2 linked regions of the Daphnia pulex genome follow. Each later gene encodes a partner of the first gene's protein in a complex. Links are inferred from orthologs where the notes say so. Each region holds a gene or a part of one and is shown in the gene's direction. Other genes may lie near its edges. The genes, in order: integrin alpha-PS2-like and unc-112-related protein-like.

Region 1 (3,819 bases):
GTCAAGAGAGAAGAAACTGATGTACAACATCAAAAGGGGCGTTGTATTCCAGCTGCTGGACCCTTTTTGATTGGGGGGAGATTCGATTGGCCGCACTGATTTACAATCAATTCCCCGTTTGTTTTCTATCAACACTTTGGACTCTTTTCTTCCATCTCGTTGGATCACGTCCCTCTGAATTCCTTGTTAGTTTGAAGATATCATCGTCAAGTCTTTCCTGTTCACGTCACTTTTCTTGCACGAGTCTCTCCAACTTGGCATACCGAAACACCTGCTGAGACTCGATTGACTTCTTGATCAACCCCAAAAGTTGTTTGTATATACCTTGTTTCAGTTTGGATTTTTTGGGGGTTTTTGACACTGCGTTATTCCACTCCATACGGGGGAAATAAAGCAAACGACATTCCTTCTTATTAGTTTAGAGAGAAACTGGTAAGACATCATTCAAAAAAAGTTGACATCAGGGACGTTGATATTGGACTCGTCGAGATATTATATAGAAGACTTGTTTACATTAGCCGCTTTCTTTCTGATAGGAGAGACTCGATTGAACTGTACACGTCGTGCTGGCGGCTCTTTCATGTCCCACTCACGACTATGTGTCTCTGCTTACACAACTATATGAATTTTATTTGAATCCACCCGTCTGGGGCTATTGCTATAAGGCCTTATCTGTGGATTTGTTATAACATGGTACACGGTTAAAGGCAATCCCCTGTAAAAACTTGTAGACCCCCCAATGATTTTTCGTTTATTCAAATTTGGTTGTCTTCCGTCGCCGCCATCTATGGATTTGTGTGTGTCTCTCGTTAGTCCGGAGCAATTCCGACAGAGTTCTCGTCGGGGAAAAAATGTACGAACACAGCGGTCGAATTATTGATCGTATATTGCCATATATTTTGACTGTTGGCCGGCATAAATAGCCGGACCGCTTCTCCTTTTTTTTCTTATTAGACGAGTTTGAAGTCCTTTTGTTTTCTCTTTTTTTGGGCCTCATCCAAATGATTAGCCTGTTGATGCGACCGGCACGTCTCAATTCGATCCTCGGCAGATGGCAGTCAAGATGCCACAATCTGAACGGGAAATAAGAACAATAGAATTCAAAATTCTGGTTTTTAACGATGGCAGCGTATAACAATGCCTGGCCATTTCTCAGCTCTTTTCTTGCCCAGTGTATTGACAGTTGAGTTTCGTCTGCGATTGTGATCGACACTGGACGTACAGTATAACAAGGTTCTGCAGTCAGAAAAAAAAGGGAGTTGGCCCACTAAAGGATTGCGTTTGAGAGCAGCAGCCCTTAATTGGGGGGCTCCAGTTCTGAACGATGCTATAAATATAACACACCAAAGAGCTCGCACGCTGCTGCTGCTGCTGGTAATCACGAAAATGGCCGATGTGAAATGAATGGGACCCCGCCGTCCAAATAGGGACACGACGAGTCGGACGTCATTTGCTCTCGTCTAAATTTATTTCTAAAAGAAAACGACTGGGCGTCAAAGTTATTAGCTCATCAATTCGACTTTTCGGTATTATATTCTACCTCCACCCCTGACCGCAGAGCTCCCACACACACAAGCAGCAACTTCACACAGCCGCTGTGAGGGATTAGCTTCCGGCCATATGCACTCGAAGAATGTTATGACAGCTCTTACGTCAGAATGAGTTTTGAAGAGGGTAGTGTCAGTGGTTTTTCTTCTTCTTTCCATATTCTCGAGTGGTTGGTTGGCCCCCCCCCCCCCCAGGGGGGCCAACTTCTGTGGTTTCTCTCGCACCTCTTCTTCTATCTGATTGTCTGTCACAGGTGATGCAACTGACGTTGTTGTCTAGAGACTATCGAATTTTCTTGGTCGGGCACTTGGAAATGTTGTCGTTTCCGTCATTTCCCAACGGACAGTTTAAACTTCCCGCGTCCCTGGTTGAAATTCGCTTGCGGAAGAAGAAACGCCCAATTTGTTTATTTGCCTTTAAAGTAATGAAATATTGATTCATTTCTCTTTGCAGGTTGTTGGTTGGAGCTCCGACAGCGCAGACGGAACAGCCGGGCGTCACCCGAGGTGGATCCGTTTTCCGTTGCAGCACAGAAATCCCCGACCAGTGCCAATCGATTCCATTCGACGTCACAGGTAAAACAAAAAAATCATTGCGTAAATACGAATAATCAATTTGAAATTTTAAAAAACATAAACAGGAAACAATAACGCGTCGGGACAACAAATCGACCAGAAATCGGACCAGTGGTTTGGCGCTACCGTCCGCAGTGCCGGACCAAACGGACCAGTTCTGGTCAGTTTAGAAAATTCAATCGTTCATTTTTGGTTATTATTTCAGTTTCAAAATGTTTTGGTTTTCTCTTATAAAGGCCTGCGCTCCCCGTTACGTCTGGTTCTCCAACAATTACAAGCGCCGTGAACCAGTTGGCACTTGCTTCGTCGCCCGTGAATCATTTCGGGAATTCTCCGAATATTCGCCATGCAGGACCTGTGAGTTTCTTTTCTTTCTTTTCTTTGCCACTCTTTAATTGAAATGAAATTCATTTGTTCTTTTTTTCATTTCTGTAGCCAATTGGGGATACCATCGTCAGGGTTCGTGTCAAGCCGGACTGGGAGCCACTATCACACCGGTACGACGACTTCCATATCTTTTTCGACAAATATTTTGAGAGAAAAGAAAAAAGAAATTATTAATAGGAAAAAATTGCTTATCTCATCCATCTCCTCCCGACTCCGGTTAGGGTTTGGTCTCTTAAAAGAAACTTTCTTTTTTTATTTTCCATCCGCCCAAGAAAAGGCGTTTGTTTGTCAAGCCACACACACAAAAGCCGATTGAAGTCTAAAGAATTTGATTGATTCCCCCTTATTGTATACAAGAGTTTAAGTATTTTTGTTTGTTCGTGCGTTTGCATCTGAAAGAATTTTTCTGGTGGGAAATGGTGGTTCAAGTCGTCCTTTATATCATCGCTACATGTTGATGTGTCTGTTCCGTTTGGCCGCCGTCGTTTTCTACGTGGCGATGACAGATGTTTCCATTTATTTATCGTGTTTTTTCGTTCGTTCGTTTTTTCCTAGGATGGGCTTCGAGTGTTTATCGGCGCCGTTGGCAGTTGGTACTGGCAGGGTAAGTTCATCCGACTACTTTTTTTTTCCCTACGAGTTTTGATTAGAAATCCAACAGGTTTTACATTCTTTCCCCCAGTTATTATTTTAGGCGCAAGTATTATCTTTAGTTTGAGAGACTCTCTTTTTTTTTATCCGAGTAGTTAAGTTGAAATACATCCTGTACCGTTTTGCGGAAGGCAGAAATTTTAGGGCGAATGTCCGGTTTCTGTTTGCATTGTGTCAATACCAAACACGGATGATGACCCCCCTAATAAGAGCTCGTCATGTTTTCTAATTGACAACGTTTTATTATCATTATGCCAATATTTCACAGCCCTTTAGCTTTGCCAAATGCTCCGGACTGTTTGAATTGCAACTTCCCCCCTTTCGTACAAGTCAAATATTTTTCTAGATCTTTTGTTGTACATATTGTACAAACATTTCGTGTTCTACTTTTCACCCCTATTTGATGACGCCGGATGTGTCACGCTCAAACTTCACCTGAAATGTTCATCCTCCCACCTCTCATCCCTCCTTGATTCCTCCACAATTTCCCACCGACCCCTCCTGAATCAAAAGAAGAGATTGCTGTGACTTGCGACCCTCCCTTGAAATATTTAATTCAAATTAAACCCCTTTTGGATGTTTTGTGCACTTATAAAAAAGAAAAAGAGAGTAAAAAAACATAAATATCACCTCACTTGACTGTCGGTTGTGTTATCAC
Region 2 (4,339 bases), on another chromosome or scaffold:
AACAAATTGAAATGCCAAACACATGTAAAATGTATCTATTGTGGGGGTAGTCTTTTTATTTTAAGAGCTAGATTCAAGTTGGGCGCGATCTTTGGGCGCTTCAATGGGCCACCAAGCCGGTCGGTGGGTTTCGATTAGATTCGAGTCGATTTTCAATTGAGAAGAAGAGAGGGCTTGTTGTATCCGCAAGAGGCCGAGACCGTAAACTGATCCGTGAAGATATCCTCGTAGTTTTCCCACCCGTTGTCCGTTTTCATCAGAAATGGTCGATTCTAACTGGATGGAATCGGAAGGCTGTTGGAAGACAACCGGCATCAAACGTTTTCTGGTTACACCCGTGTGGTAAGTCCTGGCCGTAAGTTCCTGTCCCAAGTAGCACCCTTTATGGAAGCTGACGCCGTGCAGGTAGTCGCAATTACATTCGAGTGGGAAACATGTGCCGGGTGGCATATCTCGAGAGCCTTCTCCCACACCAAGTTTATATCTGAGTTCAGTGTATCGATCAGTGTTGTCCACGCAGAGATTCTTTATTAGGTGACTTAGACTTTTGTTGGAATCAACCAACACTCGCCATCCCAGTTCCTTGACTCTGGGATCTCGGGCTAAAATGACTTCATTACTGAGATCTTCGGGGGGCTGATCAAAGAGAACCCAAGGCTTCAGTGTTTCCTCTACAGAGATAACCACCTTCCTTCTGACTCTGAACATGGTGAGGTGTTTTGCTAGAGATTCCGAGCACTCTGCATCACATTCAATCAGGTAGCTGCCAGATTCTTTTGAAGAGTGGATGATGGCATCGTAAAGTATTCTTCCCTGCCGGTTGAGGAACATGCAGTACATGTTGGGATTGTTATCTTCGTCCAAGTGTTTGATATCGTTTGTCATAAGACCCTGAAGGTACGGACCGGCATCCACTCCAGAAACTTTGACGATTGCCCTTCCTTTGAGTTCCTGTGCGTTTACTGTGCATTTCTGGTGAACGCGTCGAACCGAACTAGCGGCCACCGATCTCAGAGCAACTGCTTGAATAGACCGCCACATGGACGAAACTTTTGGTAGAAGGGGAGTTAAAATTGTTATCGTACCTTGCAGAGAGAGATTGAGCTCGATTGTTGAGCAAGTCGTGGTCGATTCGATTTGTTTACAACTAAAATGTAGGAACTCCAGCGCCATCTGACGGTGCTTGAAAATGTTAGAAAATCTCCTAATCTAGTCGATCTAGTCCAAGGTTTTTTATTTTTGTTTATCAGGAGATCGAGATTGCTTTCATCAGTGCGATATTGAGATTATAATGGAATGGAATTCAAGGCAGTAAGTATGAATGTAAGCTCTCAACAAACTATTATATTATTTTGATTCACTTTTTTTTACGTTTCGTGATCGATTAAAAGTTTGAATCGATTGTTTAGATCTGGAAGTGGGATTTTAGGGTACCAAGGCGTTAGTTACACGACTCTCTCATACCGAGTCTGGATGAAACGTCGACTTGGTCTTACGGCCATCTGTTTATATTCCAACACTATTCACACACAAGGGTTGATTCGCCCCCTGAATAAGTGATCACCTCGACTGCGTCAAGATGTCAACTAGTGATTGAACAATTTTGGAACTGTTCATTCTGTCTGAAAAAGCCATCGAACTATTTGAGTGTGTGTGTGTGTGTTTGGTGTTGGAAAGGAGAAAAGAGTTGTGTGTGTGTGTGGGTTGCCCCGTTTGTGTTGCCCATGTTTGGTCACGGACGGGCATCGCCTCTCTCTTGGAAATTATTGTTTGGTGCTCTAAGCTACAGGTGCTCTGCTGCTGCCTTGTGAGAGAGAGAGAGAAGAAAAATTCAAGATGATTGCCGACGGACATTTGGTCGGTGACGGGAGCTGGGAATTGAAGGTGTTGGTGACTGACTTGTCGGTCGAGCGATGTCTCCGGGTCAAAGGTGACCTGCACATTGGTGGTGTTATGCTGCGTCTCGTCGAGGAATTAGGTATGCAATTATTTGTTGTCCTTGTTTGCCCATATTTGGGGATTCAACTGCGAGGCTGACATCATCACGCCCCAATTTCCCAGGCGTCTGTTTGCTTGCATTTAAAAGACATTATGGGGGGAGCCATCTTGTCCACATCTGAAATGAGTTCTTGGTCGCCCACTAGCAGCTACTAGTGCTCCCTCTGTCGGCCCAGTCTAGCGCAGACAGGAAAGAAAAAAGGCGGCATTTAAAAATAGCCTCCCCTCGCGTCACTCTCTCTTACAATGGATCTCTCTTGAAAAATAAAATAAAAACCCCTCTGAATATAAATATATTAAAAAATCAAATAAAATCCGACAAGTCCTAGAAAGGTTGCACTCCTCTCTCTTTGATTCCGCCGTTGGCAAAGGCTATAAGCGAAATAGGGCGGGCGATTGGAATGCACAGTCTGGTGATCGGTATTCTCATCACGTCAAGGATCACTTGAATGTTTATTTTTGAAAAAAAGTTAGTTTGTTGGAAACACCGTCAGCAGCTTGTGTTATGTGCACATATCGCGGTTCGGCGTAACATCCGGATGATTTTACCCAACCACAAACGTCTCTGATTTCAGAAACGAAATTATTCAGGACGACGCCCTTTTTTTGGCCACCATGACCCATTTCATTTCCGCCCCATATACACCACCACCACCACCCACCTGAATGTGTGTGTAATTTCACGCCCAACATCACGTGATCACAGTGATGGATGTTTTGGAATAATCAAAATTTATGACCCCCCACCAGTCTATTTTATATTCACATTTTGTTACATCTTATCTTCTTTTCGTATTTTTAGATATTGCGGCGGATTGGTCGGATCACGCTCTTTGGTGGCCAGCTCGGAACTGTTGGCTGTCCAGGACCCGTTCGACGCTGGATCAGTATGGCGTCCAGGCGGATGCTCTGCTGCATTTCACTCCCATGCACAAAACGCTGCGCGTCCAGCTGCCAGATTTGCGCTACTTGGATTGCCGGGTGGATTTCAGCGTCAAGACGTTCAACGCCGTCGTGACGCTGTGCAAGGAGCTCGGCATCCGGCATCCGGAGGAGCTGTCGTTCGCCAAGCCGCTCGAGTCTGACGATTTGCGCTACAATTATCGCGAACGCGAGTCCAACACGTCGCACAAGAAGCGGACGGTGGCCAACAATTCGGCCGACACCAACACGTTCATCGGTCACCACGGCAATTCGACTCACAGTTCCAACAACAGTTTGGACAACATTAAGGCCACCTCCGGATGTACGCCCGTCCTGCCCAACACGACCATCAATCGGTCCCCGGCTCCCGTACCCACGCCCATCAGCTCACCAGTTAATGTGAGTTGTTGTTGCCATGTATATTTTTTCACGTTTTTTGTCTTCATAATAATAATACTAATCATCATTATTTTCTCATCCATCAGTCGGGCACGTGGAGAAAGAATTCACCGTATTCGACTCCGGGCAGCAACGGCCACAATGCGACACCATCCATCTTTGACATGACTGCCAACAACAGCCTCAACACGACGGCCAACAGCAGTTTCTCCAATATGGATATGTCGCTGGCGCTCAGTCCGGCCACACCCAGCCAGGAGGCCCGATCCAGGCTTCTTCGACCCAAAAACTTGATCGAACGGGCTCGTCTTAATGTGGCGTGAGTTTCTCTTATCTATCCTAACCCACTTTTATAAAAAAATCAGACAATATTGATTTATTTCCCGCATTATTTTCATCAGTTGGCTGGACTCGTCCTTGTCCATCATGGAGCAAGGCGTGCGGGAATACAGCGCGCTCCTGTTGCGCTACAAATTCTACTCATTTTACGACCTGAATCCAAAGTACGACGCCGTGCGCATCAATCAGATTTACGAGCAGGCCAAATGGCAGTTGCTCAACGAGGAGATTGATTGCACTGAAGAGGAGATGCTCATGTTTGGAGCCCTTCAGCTCCAAGTGAATTTACAAAGTGCCCAGCCTCAGCCGCTGAGTGACACTCGTGACGGCGACGACGATATCGACGCCGCCCTGAGTGACCTCCAGGACACTCTGGAAGGCACCCACGTTCACAGCAACACTAGTGACATCACTTCCATACCGGAATTGTCGGATTTTCTTCGTTACATGAAGTAAATCGATTTTTTTATTCCCCCACATTCGTTTAATACTTATTTTATTTTATTTTTTTAAATTTGATTTAAAGGCCGAAACGTTTCACCTTAAAAGGCTTTAAACGTTATTGGTTCGTCTGCAAGGATTTACAATTGTTTGCCTTCAAGAATAAAGGAGAGTCGGGTTCCGGGCCAGCCCATCAGATCCCGTTACGAGGTTGCGAAGTCACTCCGGATGTCAATCT

The links.
Region 2: integrin alpha-PS2-like (region 1) and unc-112-related protein-like share a complex: the UniProt entries of both Caenorhabditis elegans proteins name them as parts of the integrin containing attachment complex. The link is inferred for Daphnia pulex from reciprocal best matches to the Caenorhabditis elegans genes pat-2 and unc-112.

What each region holds. Positions count from the first base shown.
Region 1 is NC_060022.1:1,623,877-1,627,695, forward strand, and holds part of integrin alpha-PS2-like, read left to right. Parts: intron 1-2,001; coding exon 2,002-2,123; intron 2,124-2,188; coding exon 2,189-2,283; intron 2,284-2,359; coding exon 2,360-2,480; intron 2,481-2,558; coding exon 2,559-2,620; intron 2,621-3,065; coding exon 3,066-3,114; intron 3,115-3,819. UniProt on the Caenorhabditis elegans protein: Required for muscle development probably through the regulation of the actin-myosin cytoskeleton. Component of an integrin containing attachment complex, which is required for muscle maintenance.
Region 2 is NC_060028.1:2,205,994-2,210,332, reverse strand, and holds the start of unc-112-related protein-like, read left to right. Parts: upstream 1-1,412; 5' UTR 1,413-1,836; coding exon 1,837-1,978; intron 1,979-2,800; coding exon 2,801-3,321; intron 3,322-3,407; coding exon 3,408-3,640; intron 3,641-3,722; coding exon 3,723-4,112; intron 4,113-4,186; coding exon 4,187-4,339. Other genes in the region: putative transferase CAF17 homolog, mitochondrial, read right to left, coding at 61-1,173. UniProt on the Caenorhabditis elegans protein: Component of an integrin containing attachment complex, which is required for muscle development and maintenance. Probable regulator of cell-extracellular matrix adhesion. Required during initial muscle assembly to form dense bodies and M-lines.